3 linked regions of the Canis lupus familiaris genome follow. The protein of the gene in region 3 interacts with the protein of the main gene of each other region in a pairwise test. Links are inferred from orthologs where the notes say so. Each region holds a gene or a part of one and is shown on either strand. Other genes may lie near its edges.

The links. The genes of interacting proteins can lie anywhere in the genome.
Region 1: the proteins of EHMT2 (region 3) and RD3 interact in binary tests that used the Homo sapiens proteins (3 or more experiments, as listed by UniProt). The two-hybrid records come from large-scale screens. The link is inferred for Canis lupus familiaris from reciprocal best matches to the Homo sapiens genes EHMT2 and RD3.
Region 2: the proteins of EHMT2 (region 3) and MX2 interact in binary tests that used the Homo sapiens proteins (3 or more experiments, as listed by UniProt). The two-hybrid records come from large-scale screens. The link is inferred for Canis lupus familiaris from reciprocal best matches to the Homo sapiens genes EHMT2 and MX2.

Annotation. Positions count from the first base shown.
Region 1 is NC_049228.1:9,727,892-9,734,148, forward strand, and holds the end of RD3 (protein RD3), read right to left. Parts: intron 3,872-6,257; 5' UTR 3,825-3,871; intron 3,474-3,824; 5' UTR 3,290-3,473; coding exon 2,994-3,289; intron 1,353-2,993; coding exon 1,046-1,352; downstream 1-1,045.
Region 2 is NC_049252.1:35,748,654-35,756,234, forward strand, and holds part of MX2 (interferon-induced GTP-binding protein Mx2), read left to right. Parts: intron 1-200; coding exon 201-335; intron 336-2,473; coding exon 2,474-2,628; intron 2,629-2,799; coding exon 2,800-2,938; intron 2,939-7,156; coding exon 7,157-7,355; intron 7,356-7,581.
Region 3 is NC_049233.1:1,474,649-1,482,229, forward strand, and holds part of EHMT2 (histone-lysine N-methyltransferase EHMT2), read right to left. Parts: intron 7,441-7,581; coding exon 7,292-7,440; intron 7,195-7,291; coding exon 7,051-7,194; intron 6,972-7,050; coding exon 6,736-6,971; intron 6,658-6,735; coding exon 6,475-6,657; intron 6,378-6,474; coding exon 6,295-6,377; intron 5,918-6,294; coding exon 5,811-5,917; intron 5,710-5,810; coding exon 5,587-5,709; intron 5,500-5,586; coding exon 5,398-5,499; intron 4,554-5,397; coding exon 4,449-4,553; intron 4,346-4,448; coding exon 4,191-4,345; intron 4,103-4,190; coding exon 3,935-4,102; intron 3,564-3,934; coding exon 3,419-3,563; intron 3,096-3,418; coding exon 3,018-3,095; intron 2,722-3,017; coding exon 2,606-2,721; intron 2,499-2,605; coding exon 2,412-2,498; intron 1,039-2,411; coding exon 960-1,038; intron 819-959; coding exon 643-818; intron 354-642; coding exon 173-353; 3' UTR 1-172. UniProt on the Homo sapiens protein: Histone methyltransferase that specifically mono- and dimethylates 'Lys-9' of histone H3 (H3K9me1 and H3K9me2, respectively) in euchromatin.

The DNA.
Region 1 (6,257 bases), on a different chromosome or scaffold from region 3:
GTGGCGTGGTGAGACCAGCCAGTCACCAGCAGAGGATGGACACCACACAACAAATCCCTCATCACTCAGGGTGAGGGGAGTATAGGACATCCCTGGATGGGGGAGGGGTGAGAACCCGGGTCTTGGCAAAAAGTCGGGGCTAGTCTCCCCCTTCCTGACACAGAAGCAGAAAAGGGGCCAAGACTGTCTGCCAAGACCCAGAGTCTCTCCAGGGCGGGGCAGGGGAAGCTCCTGCTGACTTGCTGGGAGGGGGGAATAGGAAAGGGGAAGGGGGAGGGGGCAGGGGAAGGGGGGAGAGGAGTGGGGGTAAGATGAGGTGAGGTGAGGGGGTAGGGGTGGTGAGAGGGGGTAGGGCTGGGGGGATGGGGTGAGGGGGTAGGCGGGGTGAGGGGAGTAGGGATAGGGTGGGGGGTGAGGGGGTAGGGATGGGGGTGGGAGGGGTGGGGAGTAGGAATGGGAGGGGTGGAGGGGTGAAGGGGGTAGGGATAGGGGTGGGGGTGAGAGGGGTAGGGATGGGGGTGGGAGGGGTAGGGGGTAGGGATAGGGTGGGAGGGGTGGAGGTAAAGATGGGGGTGGGGGGGTGGAGGGATAGGGGGTGAGGGGGTAGAGGTGGGGGTGAGTGGGGTAGGAATGGGGTGGGGGTGAAGGGGGTAGGGATGGGGTGGGGGTGAGGGGGGTAGGGATGGGGGTGGGAGGGGTGGGGGGGTGAGGGTGTAGGGATGGGGTGGGGGTAGAGATGGGGGTGGGAGGGGTGGAGGGGTGAGGGGGTAGGGGTGGGGGATAGGGGGTGAAGAGGGTAGGGGTGGGGGTAGAGATGGGGGTGGGAGGGGTGGGGGGTGAGTAGGGTAGGGATGGGGTGGGGGCGAGGGGGTAAGGATGGGGGTGTGGGGTAGAGATGGGGGTGCAGGGGGTAGGGATGGGGGGTGAGGGGCTCCCCCGCGCCGCCAGCCCTAACCCTGAGCCTGTGGGCGGGGCGGGCGGCAGGAAGGCCCGCTCCCTCCCGTGGCTCGGGGGCGGGGGCGGGGGCGGGGGCGGGGGGGGGTGCTCAGCTGGCGGGGCGGCCCCCCTGCGGCGCCCGGAACTCGGGCAGGCTCCAGGTGCGCAGCGGCGGCGCGTCGCGCTCCACGTCCTCGGAGACGGTGCGGATGTGGCCGGCGAAGGGCGAGACGCGCGCGCGGGGCCCGCGGGGGTCCAGCGCGGGGGCGCGGGGGGGGCGCAGGCTCCAGGGCCGGGGGCGGGGGCGGGCGGCGGCGTCGCGCTGCGCGCGCTCCAGGACCTCCTGCAGCACCGAGCGGAAGAGCCGCGACACCTCGTGCACCTCGGGCTCGCGCTCGGCCAGCAGCTGCCGGAACCTGCGCGGGACGAGGGGCGCCTGGGCGGGGGTCCCGCGCCCTCCCTGCCGGGAGCCTCCCCTGCGGCCCCGCCCCGCCCCGCCCCGCCCCGCCCGCCACCTCCCGCCTCCCTGGGCCGCAGCTTCCTCACCTGGAAGCCGGGGTCCTAGCGGCCCTCCGTGGGGGTTCGGAGCCACCGGCTGCAAAGACGCTGAGCTGATCTCAGGTGAGACGCCGCCGGGGCAGTCAGGGGAGCCTGGGCCTCCCCGAGTGAGGCTTCCCGGGGGGCCCCTCCCTCGCCCCCCCCCCCCTCGCAGGCCCTAGTGGTCTCTTGCAAATGTGTATCTGTGCAATGACCGCCCTGCCACCTGCCACACTCCCTCCAGAGCCCCGGCCACCCGCTGGGCGAGGATTTCCTGGGCCTCAAACGTGCCTGCCTAGGGCTCCACACGAAGGAGGCTGGTTAGCAAGTCCCTTGAACACCTGGTTTCCTCCACCATATGGAGAATCGGGAAATGTGAGGGGACCATCATGACCCTATGTGTGTATGTATGAGGTTTGGTTTACCAGCCCGGATTCTCTCATCAGCACCACCCCCAGGACTCACCCCACCCCTGTCCCCAGGTGCTTCTGGAAGTAGGTACACTTTGAGGGGGGCGGGGATTGCATAGGACGGAACAAGAGAAACTGGGTAAGAGTCTCAGCCTGGAGGAAGAAAGGGGGCGGAGGGTGCAAAAGACTACAAGATCCAAAGGGGCATGGATAGGACTGGAGAAGGAGTTTTAAGGAGATTTTCCAAGAAAGAAAGAGGTACAATAGATGCTTACATTGGTTAAAGAGATAGGTGATTGAAGATTGGAGGCATGTTCAGGTGTTTTACGGTGGATCTGCATCCCTTTACTAGTGTTTGAGAGGTGCAGATGAAGAAGACCTCGAATAACTTTTGAAATTACTGTTGGTTGTCGGACTACACTTCTCTGACTTTAACATGAATCCAACCAAGACTGGGGCACGTGGGTCAGAGCTTTATTCAGGGACATTGTTGTACCTAAGCTCTAAATCTCTAAATGCTCAGTGCCCCAGGGCTCTGAACACCCCGCATACACACTTATGCACATGTGCAGACACATGCACGCATAGTCCCTTGAGGCAAACTAATACGAATGCTAGTGTGAACTAGGATACTGAAGACTGAACTCTGGGAAGACTATCTGGAAAGCCTTTCTAAGAAGGGAATATGGAAGATGAACCGACGAAGGAGAAAGAGCCCGCTGTGTTAAAATCCGGGGCAATGATAATCCAGGGAGAACAGAAAGCTCAAAGGCCTGGGGTCCTCTCCCATCAAAAGTCATGTGCCTCCTGCCTGCTGCCTCCCTCTGAACCCCGGCTCTGGCCTGGTGTTCTATGGGCTCTTGCAGAGTCTTGCTTCTGCCCTGTTCCTTTTACAGATCTCTGGGTCATCCAGGGGCCCTGGCTGCCATCCTGGGGGCCTCAGGCCCCTGCTGCCACACCCCTGCAGCCTGCGGTGCCGCTCCTTTTACAGGTCCCTGGGTCATCCAGGGGCCCTGGCTCGCGTCCTGGGGGCCTCGGGCCCCTGCCCCTGCAGCCACACCGCCGCAGCCTGCGGTGCAAGGCCTGGCCTGGGAGGGGGGTGGGGGTTACCTGAGGATGGCGGGCCCGCAGTAGGATGGGTGGATCTTGGCACAGACGTCCTCTAGCTGCAGCCGCTCGCCAGGGCTGAGGTCGTAGGTGGGCCGCGGCGCGCTGGCCAGCCAGCTGTAGTCCACGCCGGTGCAGACCTTCCTGAGCGCGTTACTGCGCTCCCATTGCTGCCTCTCGGCCTCCCGCATCTGCCCCGCCAGCTCCATCATGAGCGTCTCCAGCACCATCTCAGCCGGCCTCCGGGGGGACAGCCGCGGGGGGGCTTCATTCCAGCGAAGCCAGGGGATGAGGGCCATGGCCCCCCTCGGCCCTGCTGACGCAGGGCGGGAGTGCGTCTCTCTTGGGCCGCTCTGTCGGTTGAGTTGGGGGGGAGGAGAGGGGGAGGGAGGAGAGCCGGGACCCAAGAGAGAGGCCCTGCCCGCCCTCACAGCTGGAAGGCCCGGATGGGGGCTTAACCTCTCTGAGCCATCACTTCTAATTCTGCAAGACAAGATTGGGCTGTCGTGAGAAGCAGTTGTGAATAAACTTGGGGTGCTCTAAGACTCATACCGCGTAAGGGTATGAGAGTCTCATGGACCCCTAGTGCACCCCGATGGCTGAGCCCAGAGAAGATGCCTCCTGAATCCCGGCTAACTCCAAACAAAGAAGGAAATAAACTGTGTGCGGCTGAGCACGAGCTTATCCTTGCAATTTAAGGGGAGAAAATCCATGACACTTTAGGGAAAACTAACTGGAGAACACCTGCATTTCTTAACGCCCCTGCCTGTTGCTGAAGGAAGTTTGGAATTGGTTGGGGTTGCCGTCATCCTGCCAAAGACACAGCTTACCTACCATTCATTCGTTCATCCGGAAGCATTAATGAAGGGCTGTGTCCACATCTGCGGAGGAACACAAACACGAAAGCACGTCAGGGCTGCTGCTGTCCCGCAGATGTCAGTGGGAAGAGGTAATGTGGTGGGTGAAGCATAGTGTCAGTACTGATGGGGAGGGAAAGGAGTGACTCTAGGTGACAGAGGGGGTCAAAGAGGGCTTGTGAACAAGAGTGGGCTGAAGGGGGAGTGTGGGCTTCAGGCACACGGACCATTGGAGAAGCTGCCCCCGGTGGAGGACCCAGCGATGGTACAAGGTGAGCCGTGTGCAAGGAGCATCAGGTGCAGGAGCAGCGACCTGAGCTCATCATAGTTCCACGAGGTCTTACACAAGACAGGTTTGGTGAACGACTGACTGGATGGATGGACAGGTGGATGGATGGATGGACGGACGGATGGATGGAGAGATGGGTAAATGAACTGCCATCCCAGGATGCCTGTCAGAAGCGGTTTTGTGCCTCTGACGACAGTGAAGGTGAGGACCATTCCTGGACCAAAATCTGAAGTGGGTCTTTGAGGTGCCCCAGCTCCCCCATCTATGCCTTTCCCTCTCCAGGAAGCTCCCCGTTCCGTACACCAATGGTCTTCCTGCCCAGACCCCCCAGATGCCGATGAACTCAGTCTCAACAATGGCCATGAGGCGTGGAGATACGCACAGTTGTAGGCAGCCCTCCCACCACCCTCAGAGAAATGTTAATGCTGGAGAATCGGGCACAAATAGGAAATGTATTATGGGGAAACAATAGCCTCCTGGGTGGGGGGGTGGCAGCAATCAAACCTCCTCTTTACCTGTGAATAACCAATTCCCTTAGCAACCATTATATTTAGGAAATGTAAAACTTTCATCCTCCACTCAGCCTGAGTCTGTCACTGGTTGGGCCTCAGATTACACCCGGGCTCCTTCCTGAGAGGTCGGAAGGGAAGGACACAGACCCTCAGACCCTCTTCTTGGGGTCAGGACAGTTAGGACCTTTAGTTCTCCGCCCTTAACTGCTTCATGTGTTCAGAATAATAAGGCTGGGCAGTGGGGGGGGGGGGCGGGGGGGGGAGTGGGGGATGCAGGTGGGCTGTGCTCCGTCCTGAGAGCCACGAGCCCCAGGAGCCTCTTCCCAAGGCCAGGGATCTGACTGAATCAGGCAGTGGGACACCTTGCAACTGGATGTGCTACGTTTCCTATAGTAGCAGGTGTTTGTGTTTTTACAAATACATGGGTCAGGTTGGTGCTGAGTGAATGGTGTCATTTCAGGTGTTCATTCAACCCGTGAAGGGCCCTCCAAATATGGATGGGTTGCCAGTTCCCGCAGGGGCTGCTGGCGGTGCTCAGCCACTCGTAGCCCCACGCTGTCTCCAGTGCCCCTCCCTCCCCTGCCTGGGACTTGGCACTAGGGTCAGCTCCTCTCTGGAAGCGTTTCCTGACACGCTTTTCCTGATGTGACCACTCCCCACTTTGTACCCTGCCTATACTCTGTACAGACATTTTTCACAGCACCAGGAACGCTTTATGGAGTGTGACCGTCTACTCCCCCACTCTGTGTGTCATATGTGGGCGAGGACCGTGCCCTATTCTGCTTCCATCCCTGCTGCTGGATAGCACCGCAGTGGTGCTTAATAAAGACCAAACAAATGAATGAGTGAGTGAATGCATGAACAAAGGAATCAATTAGGAATGAATGAATGCATGCATGATGATGAAAGAGCAAGCCCAGGGGCGCCTGGGTGCCTCGGTGGTTGAGCATCTGCCTTTGGCTCAGGGCGTGATCCCAGGTTGGGTCCAGGGATCAAGTCCCATATCCAGCTCCCCACAGGGAGCCTGCTTCTCCCTCTGCCTGTGTCTCTCATGAATAAATAAATAAAATCTTAAAAAAAAAAAAAAGAAAAGAAAAGAAAAAAGAGCAAGCCCCACCAATCTGACCTCCCTTGAATGAGGGGGCTTTTGTCAGCGGCCATGGGAAGGACAATTTCCTCTGGCTGCCATGGTTCCACATTCTCCCATCACTCAGAGACCCCTCCTGAGGATGAGAGATTGGCTGAGCTGTGGGGTCATGAGGATATGTGGGGTCCCCCTGCCAGGATGGTTCCCCCATCTCTGCTAAGAGCCTCACCTTATAAGGTTTCCACATTTGGCCCTGGCTCTCCTTCCCCAGGAAGACTTCTTAGGTAAACCTCCCACAACCCCTCCACCCCAGCATGCCCCCACCATCACCAGGCCATACTGCACCTGCCCCTGAATGCTGGGCACCCATCCCTTGAGCTGCACCAGCCCGGAAGGTGAATGAATGAAGAAGAGACTGGTGAGGCTCAGGGTGGAGGGATGTGATGCCCTTGAATGAATGTAACCTGCCTCAAGCATCCTCCCCCCCAAACACCCTCATCTCCCCGCCACACCCCCACCGAC
Region 2 (7,581 bases), on a different chromosome or scaffold from region 3:
AACGCCTCTGTCCTCGGACCTGCGACCCTCTGTGCCCGTCCAGTCCAGGCCCCCCAGTCTCGGTCCTGGCGAGGGACCGAGATTTCAGACGGGGACACTGGGGCAGGTCCTTTGGGGTGGTGGGGGAAGGGGGTGAGAGGAGGGGGCCCTGCGAACCCTCCTGTTAAAGGGAACTTACAATGTTCGGGACGCTGTCTCAGGAATCGTGACCCGGTGCCCGCTGGTGCTGAAGCTGAAGAGGGATCCGCACAAGGCGTGGAGGGGGAGGATCAGCTACCGCAAGACGGAGCTGCAGTTCCAGGACCCCTCCCAGGTGGAGAAGGAGATCCGCCAAGGTAGGAGGCCCGGGTTTCTGCAGGTGCGGCTCCGGGGCCGCTCGCTCCCCGTCCTGGCCTCTTCTCTGCCTCCTGGTCCTCGGGCTTCTTGGTCCCCACCAGCGAGCCTGCTGCCTTTCCTTCCAGGCTCTTCCACGGGCTGCTCCTCCTGCCTCGCACACTGCCCCCTCCTGCGGGAAGTGCCCCCCGCAGGACTCCCTGCTGTCCTGGTCACCGCTGTCCCGCTGTCCCGAGGCCCTGCTCTGGAGAGCATAAAAGCGCATTATTAAGCCAGGAGGAGGCCTTTCGGAATGCGGGATGGGGTGAGGGGTCCTGTGACTGGTAACAAACACAGCTTGCGAGGGCGAGGCCTTCCCGTCACTCCCCGGAGCTCAGCTCCCCGAGAATCCCATGTCCCAGGGCCTCAGATGGCTCAGCAGAGGGATTTCATCCAAAGGGCAGACATCCTGCCCCCAATTCCTGTGCTCACCCCTGAATGTAGATGACCACCCCCAGGGCTCTTGCAGCCCTGATACTCCAGGCCTCACTGCCTGTTCCACGGGGCTCTGGGGCTCACTCCAAGAAGTGGAGGAGGCAGGGAGGTGGTGAGGACAGAGGCCACCCTCGGGGACAAGGCCAGGGGACTGGGGAGCATTGTCCTTATGTCTCCATGCTCCCCCCCGAGTGGGTGACCAGCAACCCCTATGTCCTTGGCATGTGTGTCCCACAAATCCTGATATTCACCATCGAAACCTCCCCTCCCCTAGACCATCCATCTCAGTTCTGATTTCCCCAAGCCGTCTAGCCCCCGGCCCCTCGGTGTGGCCCCCGATCTGCAGCAGCAACACTGCCTGGGGGCTCATTGGCCCTGCAGTCTCCGGGAGACACCCCAGACCTGCCAGGTCAGGACCTGGACTTTAACCAGGCTCCCAGATGGGCCACACGCACGCGGAGTGCGAGAACCCGTGCCCAGAGCATGGCCACCTGCGTGACTGGGGGGCCCAGCGCAGTCATCCTGCAAGACCCCTCGGTTCAGAATCACTAAGAATTTCAAGACCGTGAAAGCAGATTAGTAAACCAGGAGGGGACCCTTCCGAACTCAGGGCTCCCCCGTGACCGCTCGGGCCCCATGTGCATGAAGCAGGGGCTGGCTCTGAGGTGTGTGCCCAAGACATCTTAGCTGGTCCCTTGTCGTGGTTGTGAAGTTGACAGCCTGTGGGAAGACTCCAGCGTCCCTACAGGGGGCTGCTCCCAGGAAGGGGCAAGATACCCTTGGTGTGTCTGGTGGCCGCTACCTGCCCGAGGGATGTCACTGTGAGTGACAGGCAAGCCAGGTGCATGCACAGCGGGGCACCTGGGGAGTGATGGGGGGAGTGGGGCGGGGGAGACATGCTCAGCTCTGCCTCCATGTCCTCCTTCCGGCCTTGGGATGTGCTCTGCGAAGCCCTGGGGTGGAGATCCCCAGGATCCCCATCTGCATGTCACTTCTCGGCACACTGAGCCTCGGCTTGCAGGGGTGCTGGAAGCTCCCCATCGATGGCACTGAGGGGCCCTCTTTGCTGACACTTGAGTTTTCATTACAACTGTGTGTGCCTTCGGACATCGGACCCAGGGACCCTGTCCACCCATTGGCCACGCTCTGGGAGGGCGGAAACCGTCCTCTTGCACCAGCAGAGCTCGAGGCCAGCTCAAAAAGAAAAATTCGTTCTGTCTTTGAACCCTATTACCTCTACGGGGGTGCTTGGTGTCCTCAGGACAGGTGAGCTTCCCCCAGGGTAAGCCACGCCAGAGAAAGCAGGCGGCGGTCACGATGTACTTATTGCTGGTCACACACCACGCCATCATTTCCACCCTATCTATCTTTAGGCGGAGGTCCCTATGTCCAGCCCCCATGCAGGGCTTCACCGTTTGGAGGGAAGAGTGGGGAAGAATTTGTGGAAATTATTAACACTCACAGGAAAATATTAAAAAGCATAAAGAGAGAGACTAGAACCCATCCGTATCCCGTTGTGAACATATTGGTATGTTTTCCTCCAGACTTTCAGGGAGGCTGATGTGTTCAATAGCCCCCGAAGTGGCCCCAGAGACCCCTACAACTGCTATTCCTCCGACAGGTCATTAACCTGGACTCTGGGTTTCCCCTCTCTTGGCCTCCACAGCTCAGAACATCATAGCTGGGCAGGGACTTGGCATCAGCCATGAGCTCATCAGTCTTGAGATCACCTCCCCTGAGGTCCCCGATCTGACCCTCATTGACCTCCCCGGCATCACCAGGGTGGCTGTGGGAAATCAGCCCCAGGACATCGGAGTGCAGGTAGGCCTTCTGGAACTTGGGAATGGGCCAAGCTGAAGATGGGGAGACTTCTGGGTCTTCGTGGGGAGCCCCGGGGGCTTTGGACTGCCTCCCTTGTGGTGTTGGTTGACCGGAGACGTACGCACTCTTCCTTTGTGTCGTTTGGTTTTTGTTGTTGTTTTTTGGTATCAGATCAAGGCACTCATCAAGAATTACATCCAGAAGCAAGAGACGATCAACCTGGTGGTGGTCCCCTGCAACGTGGACATCGCCACCACGGAGGCGCTGAGCATGGCTCAGGAGGTGGACCCCAATGGAGACAGGACCATAGGTAAGAAGACAGAACCAAGCTTCCAGAGGATGGGAGGGAGGGGGAGCCTTCTTATATATTTAGAAGGTCCTAGAATCTAGCACTATTAGAGGCAAGTGCTGTTCCCAGCAGGAGCTCCGTGGGCTCAGGGTGCATTCACACACCACGGGTGGGTATCTCCACCCACAGCCAGGGTTAGATGCATGGCCAGAATTTGGAGGTTCTCCACCCTCCTTCCTCTCGTCCCCCGTTTGCATTCACAAACCATTCCGGATGTGGGGCAAGAACTGCCTTATCTGTTTCCCACAACGGTTGGGAAAGGAGAAAGAGCCTGGCCCACCAGCTCCGCCATTCCGCAGGTAAGGTTGTTGCCACCTGACGTGGAAAAGACCTTCCTACAGACCTCAGTGGACATTCTACTGGGCTGATGTTGGGGTGCCGGAGTCTGCAGGATTTGTATTCAAGCAGAACTCTTCGCGGGGAGCTAGGTTCTCTTAAATTTCTTTAAAAAAAAAAAAAAGTCACCCTAGAAGGCATTACAGGGAACTCGGTTTAAGAGTGCGCACTGTCTGGGGTTCAAATCCTTAATCTAGCACCTACTGGCTGTGTATCCTTGGGTAATATATTTAACCTCTCCTGGCCTCACTGTCTTCATCCATGAAATGGGACTAACAGTCCTAAGTGCTGGGTGGTTGGGAGGACTCCATGAAGATGGTACTCAGGTCTGGGCACGTAGAGTTTTCTCAGCAACTGATAGCTGCTATTTCTTTATTAGTGATATTATCACTCAGCATCACTTCTTCACCGATCATCCCGCCTACCCAGAGAGCTGACCCTCCTGCAGATTTGCAGGTCATTCCCCTGACTAAACGCATACTCGGCTTATAATTGCCTTTCCTGCGCCTTCCCAAATAAAGGCCTGGTTTTCCAGTAAGGTTGGAAATGAATATGAGGGGCACACACCTCATGAATAATGTTTCACTCTACGCTAGACCACGCTTGTGCCCCGTTCTCTGTCAACTTCTCCAAGCATCACCAACACACCGCACCAGAGAGAACACTCAGGCTTTGGGTCACCCCGGTCATTGTAGGGCCCACGCTCTTTGTCCTCTCTCAATCCTAGGTCAGGAGGGATGGCTCACCGATGGCCACGGTAGGTAACATCATCGGTTTAGTAGGGTCAGCTAGCTGGATATTAGTATCTTTACAGGAGGGCGGCGACTGGGAGTTAGTGGATGAATGCGGAGTTTCAGTTCTGCAAGAAGAAAACCAATCCTGGCAGAGGGGGTTGCACAACAATGAGTAACTGGATGCCACTGAACTGTTCCCTTTCAAATGGCCCAAACGGTCGCTTTGATGTTACGCGGACTTTGCCACAATTTTTAAAGACACACAGTTGTTTAAAAACAGGATAACTGAAGGTGGAGTGAAGGAGGAAGCATCCTATTCTCATTAGTTGAGTTGTTCTCCTGCCCCCACGCGTTAGGTGTATTTTGCCACAATTTTTTAAAAAGAGAGCCGAATGACTATCTATACCGTACTTCCAAAGGGTGAAAACAGAACAAGTGTGACCACCACCGTAGCAGTGGTTTACATGACACCAAGCTTCGGGAAGGACTGTGAGCCAGGATGTTCGCAGGTGGTCCGCGAGGCGGGTCCTCCACCTTCCACTGCTAAGTGCACATTGTCTACTCGGCCCACTCCGGTGGGACTCCTGTGGCCACCATGGCACACAGGTGGCATTTGTTAAGGTCACCGATGCCCTCCATGCCAACAAACCTGCCGTCGCTCCTCAGTCCCCATCTTTCTCCACCTCGGACACGGTCAGACGGCTCACCACTGCTTCCTTCTTGCCATCTCTCCATCCTTCGCCTTAACGCACAGCCTCTTGGCTTCAGGGTCACGACGCGTGCTCCGTCTCCTCCTTCACCGGCCACCGGACGTCACATTCTTAGTCTTGTCCGGGTGTCTCTTCATTTCTCTGACCTCGAAATATCGGAAACCCAAAACTTGCTTCGGAGATCTCCCCTCTATCACACGTGCTCCTTAGGCGAGCTGATCCGGCCACGGCTTTGAGTCCGTCTGTATGCTGGCAACTCCCAGATCTAAATTTGTGACCCTTACCTTTCCCTAGGCTTGATGTCTCCACTTGGATGTCTATTAAATGTCTCCAGGGTAATGTGACCACAACACAACCCCCGATACCCCGCGCTTCCTCAATTCATCTCTCTCCCATGGCTTCTCCACCTCACTCACAGCACCACACCTGCCAGTTCTAGAGCCAAGTCTGACTCACACGTGACTCCTCCTTCCCCCGCTTCCATGGCTAATTCAGCTGGAGTCCTGGTGACTGTCTCCAAAACTAATACCAAGTCTGTCCACTGCTCTCCATCTGCATAGTCACCACTAGACCAGGCCCCCATCATCTCTTGCCTGGGCGACTCACACCTCTTCCTATAGTCTCCAGGCACTCACCTTGCCCACAGTGCACCCTCCACTGGTTTTTAAATAGGTAAACAAAGTCAGGCCCCTCCTCTGCTTCTACACTAATGTTACCACCTCACATCCATAAACCATAAACCCAAAGCCTTCCGTGACCTGGCTCCCTATGCCTCTCTGATCGTGGTTGTCATCGCTTCTGCTTTGCCCACTGGTCTCCATTGTAGCTGTCGTCTCCAGGGCCTGGACTGCTCTTTCTGCATCCTCGCAGGGCTGGCTCCTTCCTCTCCTGCAGATCTCAGCTTGCCTTGTCCACCCAACCCAACACTGCACCATGCCCCCCTGCCTGCACTCGTTGACCAACACATGACTGGATTTTAACTCTCTGCCTAGCACTTCTCAATATCAGATACTTTCTCTTTGTTTCTTGTATATTACTGGACTAATTTATGTGGCTTTTACCCACTAGAAGGTGAGAGGATAGCCACGAAATTAGAGACTTGCAGTCTTGTTCACTGCCACTTTCTCAATACCTAAAGCAGTGTACTTAATAAGCATTTTTAAAATTCAATAGGAATATGTAATCTACTCAGGAAAGAGTTTAAACAGAAGAAAACTAAGGCATCTAAAAGTTATTGACAGTGCCTTTCTCCATGGCCCAGGAGTTGGGACCCTAGGTGATGCTCATGTGCGGAGGCTGTCGATGGAGGCATGAGATTTTCCCTGCTTGAGTTCTTGGCTTCAAACTGAGACACTGGGTGAGAAGACCCCCTGACTCCAGAGAGGGGGAGAACTCATTGCAAGCCTCACTCTTTATTATCTGCCTAGTTTATCTCAGAATATAGTTCAGCGATCTAGGCTTTCCTGAATGACCGCTGGCTCCAAGGAGGGGTCCTCTCCTCTACTGATGGAAGGTTGCAGGTGCAGGTTCAGAGACCTGTCGGCTCCTGTGGGAACACGACGGTCTGTGTGCACACAAATCTTTTAATGAACGTAAGCTATGCTCTTAATGACAACCTTTGGTAATAGGAAGGCAAAACAGAAGAGAGAGAGAGAGAGAGAGAGAGAGAGAGAGAGAGAAGTTCAACTGCTTGGGTGCCAGGAAGGTTTCAGGAAATGAGAGACCAGATGGCCAGACTTAACCACAAATCAAAAACAAGGACAAAGATAGTAGAAGATGACATTAGATTTCCACCCTAAACAGACAAAAAAAAAAAAAAAAAAACCCAAAAAAAAAACAAAACAAAACAAAAAACACAACGTAGTGGCAATCTGACACCTCCAGAACACAAATAGAAATAGATACTCAGAATTCAAAGCTTTCAATCCAATCTAAGTGGGAGGGTGTGGGGACAGATGGGAGAGACGGAGGCAGAGAAGACGATGTCCGAGGAGACACCCACCCACACGAAGAGGGCAGAGTGAGTCTGTGACAGGACACGCTAGAGGGGGACACAGACACCCCCCACCCTGTACAGCAGGGGATGAGCTGCTGCGGGGAATAGGGTGGAGCCGCTAAGTTCTGAGGCCGCATGCCACCAGGTGTCTGGCACCCAGACACGTTTGTTCAATAGGTTATATGAGGAAATGGTTGGGTTGAGCGAGTGGGAGAGCAAATAAAGACGCAGATCCGAGGGATGGCCGTGGAACGCACGAATGCGGTTTCAGGCACGGGGCCATCAGAGCTCCAGAGGGCTCCACGGGTCTTGGCCGAAGAAGGATCCCAGAGCCTGGCAGCGTTCAAGCACATCTGAGGACCAGACTGACCTTTGCCACTGTCTTTGGCTTCTCACGTCACAGGAGTCCTGACCAAACCAGATCTAGTGGACAGGGGCACCGAAAAGACCGTGGTGAACGTGGCGCAGAACCTCACATACCATCTCCAGAAGGGCTACATGATAGTGAGGTGCCGGGGCCAGGAGGAGATCACAAACCAGCTGAGTCTGGCCGAGGCAACCGAGAAGGAAAGGATGTTCTTCCAAACACATCCGTATTTCAGGTGAGCTTCTTTAGGACAATCCCAGGATGGCCGTCCAGAACCGGCCACGTGGCTGCCAAGTTACAGAGAGAAGCGTGTGCAATTTCTGTGTCCACCTTGACTCTGGGGCGGGGACCAAGAATTTGTGTCTCTGTCAGGTCCCTAGTCGAGCCCAGTGTTGCTGGGGCAGGGACCCACACTCAGAGCATCCCCCACCCCCAAGGTCCCTGGGAAAGCGAAGTCCTGG
Region 3 (7,581 bases):
CCTCCAGGGCCTGGCTGGGTCTTGGCAGAGGAATGTGTGAAGGGGGAGGGGTGAGCTGATGGCAGCACCCTGCAATGTGGGCTCTGGAGCAGCATGTGGCAGGAGAGCTGCTGTGCAGGTGGTCGTCTAGGGCTGGGGCGTGTGTGTGTGCGTGTGTGTGTGTGGTCCATTGTCAGGGGTTGACGGGGGGCAGCGCACTGAGCTCTGGCAGCAGGTCGGGGTGGGGATCCAGGCGGGCCAGGCGGCTCTGTTCCAGGGCGATGGCCTCGGCCGAGTGCTTGCACTTCTCTGAGCCGCACTGACATGTGAAATACTTGCTCTTGATGTCCCAGAAGCGGTCACCGTAGTCGAAGCTGTTGGAGGGGCATGGGACGCTGTGGGGTGCAGGGCCGGCAGCACAGGCCCGTCCAGAGCACCCACCCCATCTCCTCCCGACAGGCTCTAGGACCTGCAGTACTGGCCCTGCCGGTGGCCTTGTTACACGTGCAGGAGCTTAGCTCTGGCTCAGGATTCCGTTTGCACTGTCTGGGAGGCTCTGCCCTTATTCACGCCTAGAAGCCAGACCCTCTCCAGCCTTGGGCTTCGGGCCCCAAGTGGCCTGCCTCTCTCACCACACCCCCACACACAGCATGGACACCTCACCCCAGCTCCTCCCCAGTCCGGATGTCTCGGGAGCTGAAGAAGGCAATGCGTGGAAAGCGCAAGTCTTGGTGAAGCATGAAGACCCGGACGGGGATGATGTTGGGGTCACACAGGTGGTTGATGAAGCGGCTGATGTTGCCATAGTAACGGGCATCGATGCAGTACACCTCTCCATCCTGAGGGGAGGGCGGCACTCTTCATACTCGCCACTGCCCTGCCTGCCTGGCCAGCTGCCCCACCCACAGACCACCCAGGCCCTCCTCCCCAGGCTTCTGTCTGCCCACTGGGTGTGAAGGACAGAGGAATTTCTTGCCCACCTTGTTGTCTAAGTCGAAGAGGTAAGAATCATCCTCTCTCACATCAGCCTCAGCATCAGAGATTAGCTCCCCGACATACCTATTGGGCAGGAAGTGGCGGTTCCGAAGGTGAGCAGGGATTATCCAGAGCTGGCTCCAGGCCCTGTCTCTCCTCATGACCCCATGGGACCCTCTTCCACCACATGTCAGCTGCCCTGGTCTGTGCCCATGAACCCCACAGATCTGTATGGGCGGGTGTTGGTGGGCATGGAGGACAGCCGACTCCAGATGTCATGGGATGGGGGAGGAGGACGCCCCCCCCCCCCCCGCCCCGAGAGTGAGAAGCAGGAGGAACAGGGACACAGCACGGGAGGGGACAACGCAGAGTGTACTCCTGTCAGCTATGGTCTCCACGGACAGCTGCACCAACAGGCAGGACCAGCGAATGTGGGGGAAGCTGGGGGCCAGTAGGCCAGGGATGAGCTGGAGAAGCAGCCAGGGAAAGGTAAAGGGAAGGGCCAGAGCTGCGCCAGAGGAAGATCAGTGAGCCCCTGTGGCTCAGTATCTGTGGGCATGTGGTGTGGGTGGGGAAATCCATGTGAGTTTAATCCCTGGCAGGTCTGTGGACTAGGAACCACCCAGCAGGTGGTAGCGATGCCAGGCGACAGGACAGGAGAGGTGTCAGGGCTGCGGGAAGGGATGGAGCCATGGGGGCCATGAGAAATGCCAGGAAGGAGCTGGGGACAGGGACACCCACACTTAGAAAGCAGAGGAAAAGAAGCCGGTGAAGAAGAGGGATGCATGGGACTGACGTGAGGACAGCGTCGTGGGAGCCAAAGCGAGGACCAAGATGCAGGGCAAGGCACGGGTAGTTGGGAGGCAGCACTGGCAGGAGGGTGAGGGCAGAGGCAGATTCTGGCAAGGATGAGCAGTGAGTGGGTGGTGGGGAGCCTGAGGCCCAGGAGGAAGGGGCCATTTGAACAAAGTTGAGAGATGGTCCAATAAAGAGATGGAGGCCCCTTAAATAGGCAAATGGGGCTGAAGGGGGGCCTAGATGAAGACTGAGCCGTGGAGGAGGAGCCAGGTGACGGACGGGGTGACAGATGCTGGGAAAAGAAAGAATTGCTGGACAGAAGCAAGGCCCGTACAGAGATGGACAGAAAGGCCGCATCATTACCTCCATTTTGGAGACAAAAAAAAAAAAAAAAAAAATGAAGCTCAAGCAGGCTAAGAACTTGGCCAAGGATTCCCAGTGGCAGAGCACAGCTCAAACCTGGGTCTGTAGGTCTCCAGGCTTGGAAAGGCAGGGCAGGGGAGGGGAGATGTTGCAGTGGTGGCAGGAGGCTATCAGGCTCTGCGGTCTGTGTGGGCTGGGGGCAGGTGCAGTGAAGGGGCAGGCCCACCAGGGAGGAGAGCCAAGGGAGACCTGGGAGTCAGCTGTGGCTAGGCACCGACCCCCTGACCCCTACTCACTCGCAGATGAAGGTCCCCTGGGGGATGGTCTGCAGGGCGCGGACCCCCCAGCCCATCTTGGCTGTTCGGTAGAGCTGCAGTCGCACTCTGGGGGTGGGGAGGGAGGGTGGTGTTAGGTGGAGGGACCTGGAAAGCCCCCATTTGAGGGGCACAGGGGTGGGGGGGTGAGGGCAGGCTGCAGGAGGGGTCCTCACTTGATGCCGCTCTGCACCACCCGGTTCTTGCAGTTTCTCCAGCAGGAGCAAGCCTGATTACACTCGAAAATCAGTGGGGGCTCAATCTTGTTAAATTCCTGGAGCAGCCGCCCGTCCTGGGGTTGAGGGTGGGGAGAGTAAGTGGTTTCTATCTGGTGCCCACCTCGACTGCCAAGGAACCCCCAGAAAAATCCACCACGGATCCCAACCCACCAGAGAGGGAGGACAGGCTGGGGAGGCCACACATGTGGAGCTCAGACAACAGGAACCCCATCAAGCCCTTAATTTGCATGCAGCTGGCACAGGCCCATCTCCCCCTAGCACCCTCCCCACAACCCCTGCTTTGCCCTGCCCTCTTTTCATGAGGGAGGAAGAGAGGGACAGGCGGCTTGGATGGGGCAAGCACACGCACCTTGTCATACCAGCAGCGGATGCTCAGCTGGCCACAGAGGCAGTTGGAGCTGGAGCAGTCGTCCACACAGGTGCAGTGCTGGCGCAGGAGGCAGGGGGTTAGCCCGATCCTCAGAAGCAGCCCTATCCCCACAGTGCTCCCTGACCCCTAACCACTGTCCTTTCTCTAAGATCACTGCTTTAGAACAGTGGGGGCTGATGGTCCCAGGATGAGGGGGATTCAAAATGCTAATTACAGGGGTACCCAGGGCCAACATGAGCCCGTAGACCTTCATGTGTCCTAAAGAAAGGACCCCTCTCCCAAGTGGATGCAGGCCCACCCCCAAGGTCCCTTCCAGCCCCACTCCCCTGGCCAGGTGGCTCGTTGGCCCACAACTTGCCCAGCTGTGCTTGGCAGCTCACTTGCAAGTGGGTGATGTTACGGTCGATGTTCATGGTGGATGTCTCGCAGTTCTCTGAGATGTACTTGTAGTCCTCAGGGCAGGGTTCCCCGTCCACACCGTTGACACAGGGGATGGGCACGTTCTCATAGCCCCGAGCCACATCCCTGACACAAGGGGAATGGGGGCTGGGGTGAGGGGGTCCACAAGGTGCAAGGAGAGGCCTGAGAGGTCCCTGGGGCCGTGGGAGGAAGGGGGTGGTTCTGGGGGCTCACCGGGGTGGGGGGAGTAAGGTGGTCAAATAAACTAGAGGACAGCCCACGAAAACTGGATTTCAGATAAATAGTTTTTTTTTTTTTTTTTTTTTTACCATAGATAAGTCCCCAGTGCCATGTGGGATGCTCTTAACACTAAAAAAACATGCACTGGTCATCTGAAATCCTCCTTTAACGCTCTTTTAATTTACTGTATCTGACATCCTAGTTAGGGGTTGGCTCTGGGGATTCAGGGGAGCCTGGGGAGGGGACAGAGGGCTCACCGACAGATAATCTTCTCGGTGCGGATGGCCCGGTTCCCCACTCCAAGCCGAAGCTTGCGATTGAGCTGCAGCGCAAACCACACATCGGAGCGCTCGGGGGTCAGGTCCCACGCTGTGTCCCCCTCCTTGTTCCGCAGCTCCGGGTTCGCCCCACGTGACAGGAACAACCTGGGAGGGGACGGGAAGCCCGTGGGGCCTGGGGCCACGAGCCGAGCCGGCGGCAGGGTGTCAGGGTGCGGGGCAGGCAGGGGCTCACAGCACACAGTCGTGGTAGCTCTCCCGTGCTGCGATGTGCAGGGGCGTGTCCCCATGGTAGTTGACGGCGTGGAGGTCGCAGCGGGCGTTGAGGAGGACCTCAGCGATGGCCGCGCTCCCAGTGAAGGAAGCCCAGTGCAGGCAGATGTTTTCCTCCTGTGTGGGTGGGAGGGGTGAGGGTGGGTCTAAGCCGTGGGCGCCTGAACCCAGTCTCCTCTCTGCTCAGACCCCATCTCCCCTACCCCCACCAGACTCTCACATTGTCCGTGAGCGTGACGTCAGCACCCCGTGTCAGCAGCATGCGGATCACTTCGATGTGCTTGTGCTCTGCGGCCCAGATAATGGGCGTCCAGCCCCCACTGTCCTGTGGGTCGGGAGAGAGGGAGGAGGGTGAGGGGCTGCCGTCCCCTGCCCGGGGCCACCCAGCAGCTGGCCTAGCTTACCCAAGCAGTGCGTGGTCTAGAGCACAGGCCCTAGAGCTGGACTCGGAACAGGGGTCTCTGCTCCACCCCTCATGTGTTACAGGACCCTGGCTAAGTCTCTGAACGTCTCTAGGTCTCAGCTTCTTGATCTACCCCATGTGACTAATAGCGTCTACTGCTCAAAGTTGTGGAGTAATTTTTCTCTTTCCAAAAAGCACATATTTTTTAGGTCTTTCCACTCGAAAGTCCTAGGATATGGTAACCCAATAGCAATAACCACTGCTGAGGACACAGACCACGTCTCTAAAAAACATTTCCTGTTTAAAGGAACCAGAGTCCCTTAGAGAAATGGTAGATCAAGTCTGGGGCAGGAAATGTACTAAGAGGTAAGGATGCTCTTAGAAGTTGCTGGGTGGGACCAAAAGCCACAGGAGCCAGGCTCATGGGGTTCCTCCTGGACAAACCACAGGACAGTTCAAAGACTGAAAAATGACAGTAATGGGCTAAAACAGACCCAACATATGACACACTAAGAGGTAATAAGAAGCATCGCCACACATTCCTAGAGATTAAGGCAGCAACTGATCATTCCAAAAACATAGAAAGAAGCAAACAAGAAAAAAGTGGAAAAAAAAATACAAATGAAGAAAAGGCAAGAAATAGGGACAGACTGGAACAGAGTGATGGAAGTGTTGGAGATCAGCAGGGGCTGACAGGAGGCACAAAGGCCAGGGCTGAGCCAGGGGCCCGGAGGAAATTGGCTGGGCAGCCAGCCAGGCCACTCACCTGGGCGTTGACGTCCACCTGTCCTGTGCTGAGCAGCAGGCTGACCATCTCCAAGTTCCCGATTTTGGCTGCATGGTGGAGGCAGGTGGAGCCATCTTCCTCCTGAGGGAGATGTGGGCAGATGAGTCCCTTGCTGGCACCTCAAACCCTGTTTCTGACCCGAGGTCCCAGCTGGCCCGGTCACCACACCTTGCTGTAGACACAGCCGCCACGCTGCACCATGTAGCGAGCTACCTCCAAGTGGTTGTTCACTACAGCCTCCATTAGCGGGGTCCGCTGCTGCTTGTCTACTGCATTGATGTTGGCTCCAGCCTGTAAGGAGGGGGCATGTGGGCTGGCATCACAGAAGGGCTGGGCAAGAGAGGGGGCGCAAGGGCCTGGTCCACGAGACAGAGGGCCTGGTCCGAGCTGACCTGCAGTAGCACGTGACAGATCTCAACAGAGCCCTTCTGGGCGGCCGCGTGCAGGGGCGTGCGCTTGCTCTGCTGATCGCTCTGGAAGTTGGGGTCCAGGTTGTCCACTGTGGGGAGAGCCCGCCATACCGGAAGAAGGAGGGACAAGTGGTAAGTGACTAAGGGGCAGGTAGGACCTCCTCTAGGAAGGCTATGTGGGGTGGGGGGCCCTCTGGGCAACGCAGTTAACCTCTCTGGGCTTCCACTGGCAGGGCTGGTGTGAGTGGATGTGTATAAACACAGCACCTACGTGTTTGTCGTCACCACTGTCCCCATCATCCTGGGTTATCTGTGAGTATGTCTCCCCCTCCACGCTCCGTGTTTCGGGGCAAGGATGATGACCTTCACTGTTGTACCCCCAGCCCTGGGCCCGGGGTCTGGCATGTATGGTCTGGTGTTCCATCAAGGTCTGCAGAATGAATGAATGAATGAGTGGAATACTCACACAGCATCAGGATCACCTTCTGTAGCTCCCCCTGTTTCACTGACAGGTACAGCTGTCGGGGGTGGAAACGGAGTTTCTTCCGCCTGCCATGGTGAGGGAGAGGGGTAGGTGTCTCAGAAAGGGAACCCACCTTTCAGCCCCAGCCCTCATCGCCATGCCTGAGAGCCACCCCTCATTCACCTCTCTGACTCCTGGATGACCAGGGCCTTCTCCAGGGCCTCGCGGCCTGGACCCGGTGGCAGCCCCACGGCTGAGAGGCAGCCCCCATTGGGAAGGGTCAGGGAGGGCCCTGAGCTGTCGATGGTGTCGGCCAGAGGGTCGCAGGGTGGGCGCCGGGGCTCCCCATGCCCTCGCATCCGGGCACTGTGGGAGAAGGTGCTGATGTGTACCAGCAGTGGTGTTGGGCAGGGAACAGATAGTTGGGAATGGGAAGGCCAGTACCTGGGCTGGGAAGTGTCTGCTCTCCCAGGGGCATCCTGAGCCAGGGGTGGGGGGGCAGGGGCTGCAGTGCCAGCTGGTGGGGTCACCCCATCCCCCCGGGGGATGGTCACCTCCTGGGCCTCAGATGCATCCTCCCCACAGTGGGGACAGAAGACCATGCCATTCAGCTGGGACACACAGGCCTTGTGGAAGCGGTGGGCCACACGGAAGTCAGGGTGGCACTCCAGGAACGTGCCCTGGAAGACAAGGCATTCAGGCTCCGGGAGACCCCTCCCCCATGGGGCACGCAGCCTGTCTGCCCCACTGGTTACTCACCGCTGTACAGAAGTAGCCACAGCCGGGGCAGCAGTGGTGTTTGACCATGCGGGCACGGTGGGTCTCACAGAGCACCATCAGTGCCACGCGGCTTGATGGCCTCATCGTCTCCCGTTTGAGGATGGCAGCATTGCAGCCCGACAGCTGTGGCAGTGTGAACGGGCAGGAAGAGGGTGAGGCTGGGGCCTGGGGCTGGGTCCCCCCCACTGCCGGCACCTCTCCTATCAGCTCACAGGCCCACCTCTCCATCCACACTCTCTGTGGCCATGCACTTGTGCCCAGCTCTCTCGCTGATGCGGTCAATCTTGGGAGCCTCCATGCGGCAGCTGCAGAGGGGCAACTCCTCAAACCCCCGTTCCGTCTCTAGTGAAGACGTGTCATTGGATATCCCTTGGACGGAGGGAAAAGGGCGCTGAGCGAGGCCATCCCCATCACCCATGGGGACCCCTGGTGGGGCCTCTCACCCCCGCCCTGCTTTTCCCTCATGCTCTAGAACCCCTAAAGCCTGGCCATGGAAGGACAGACACCTGG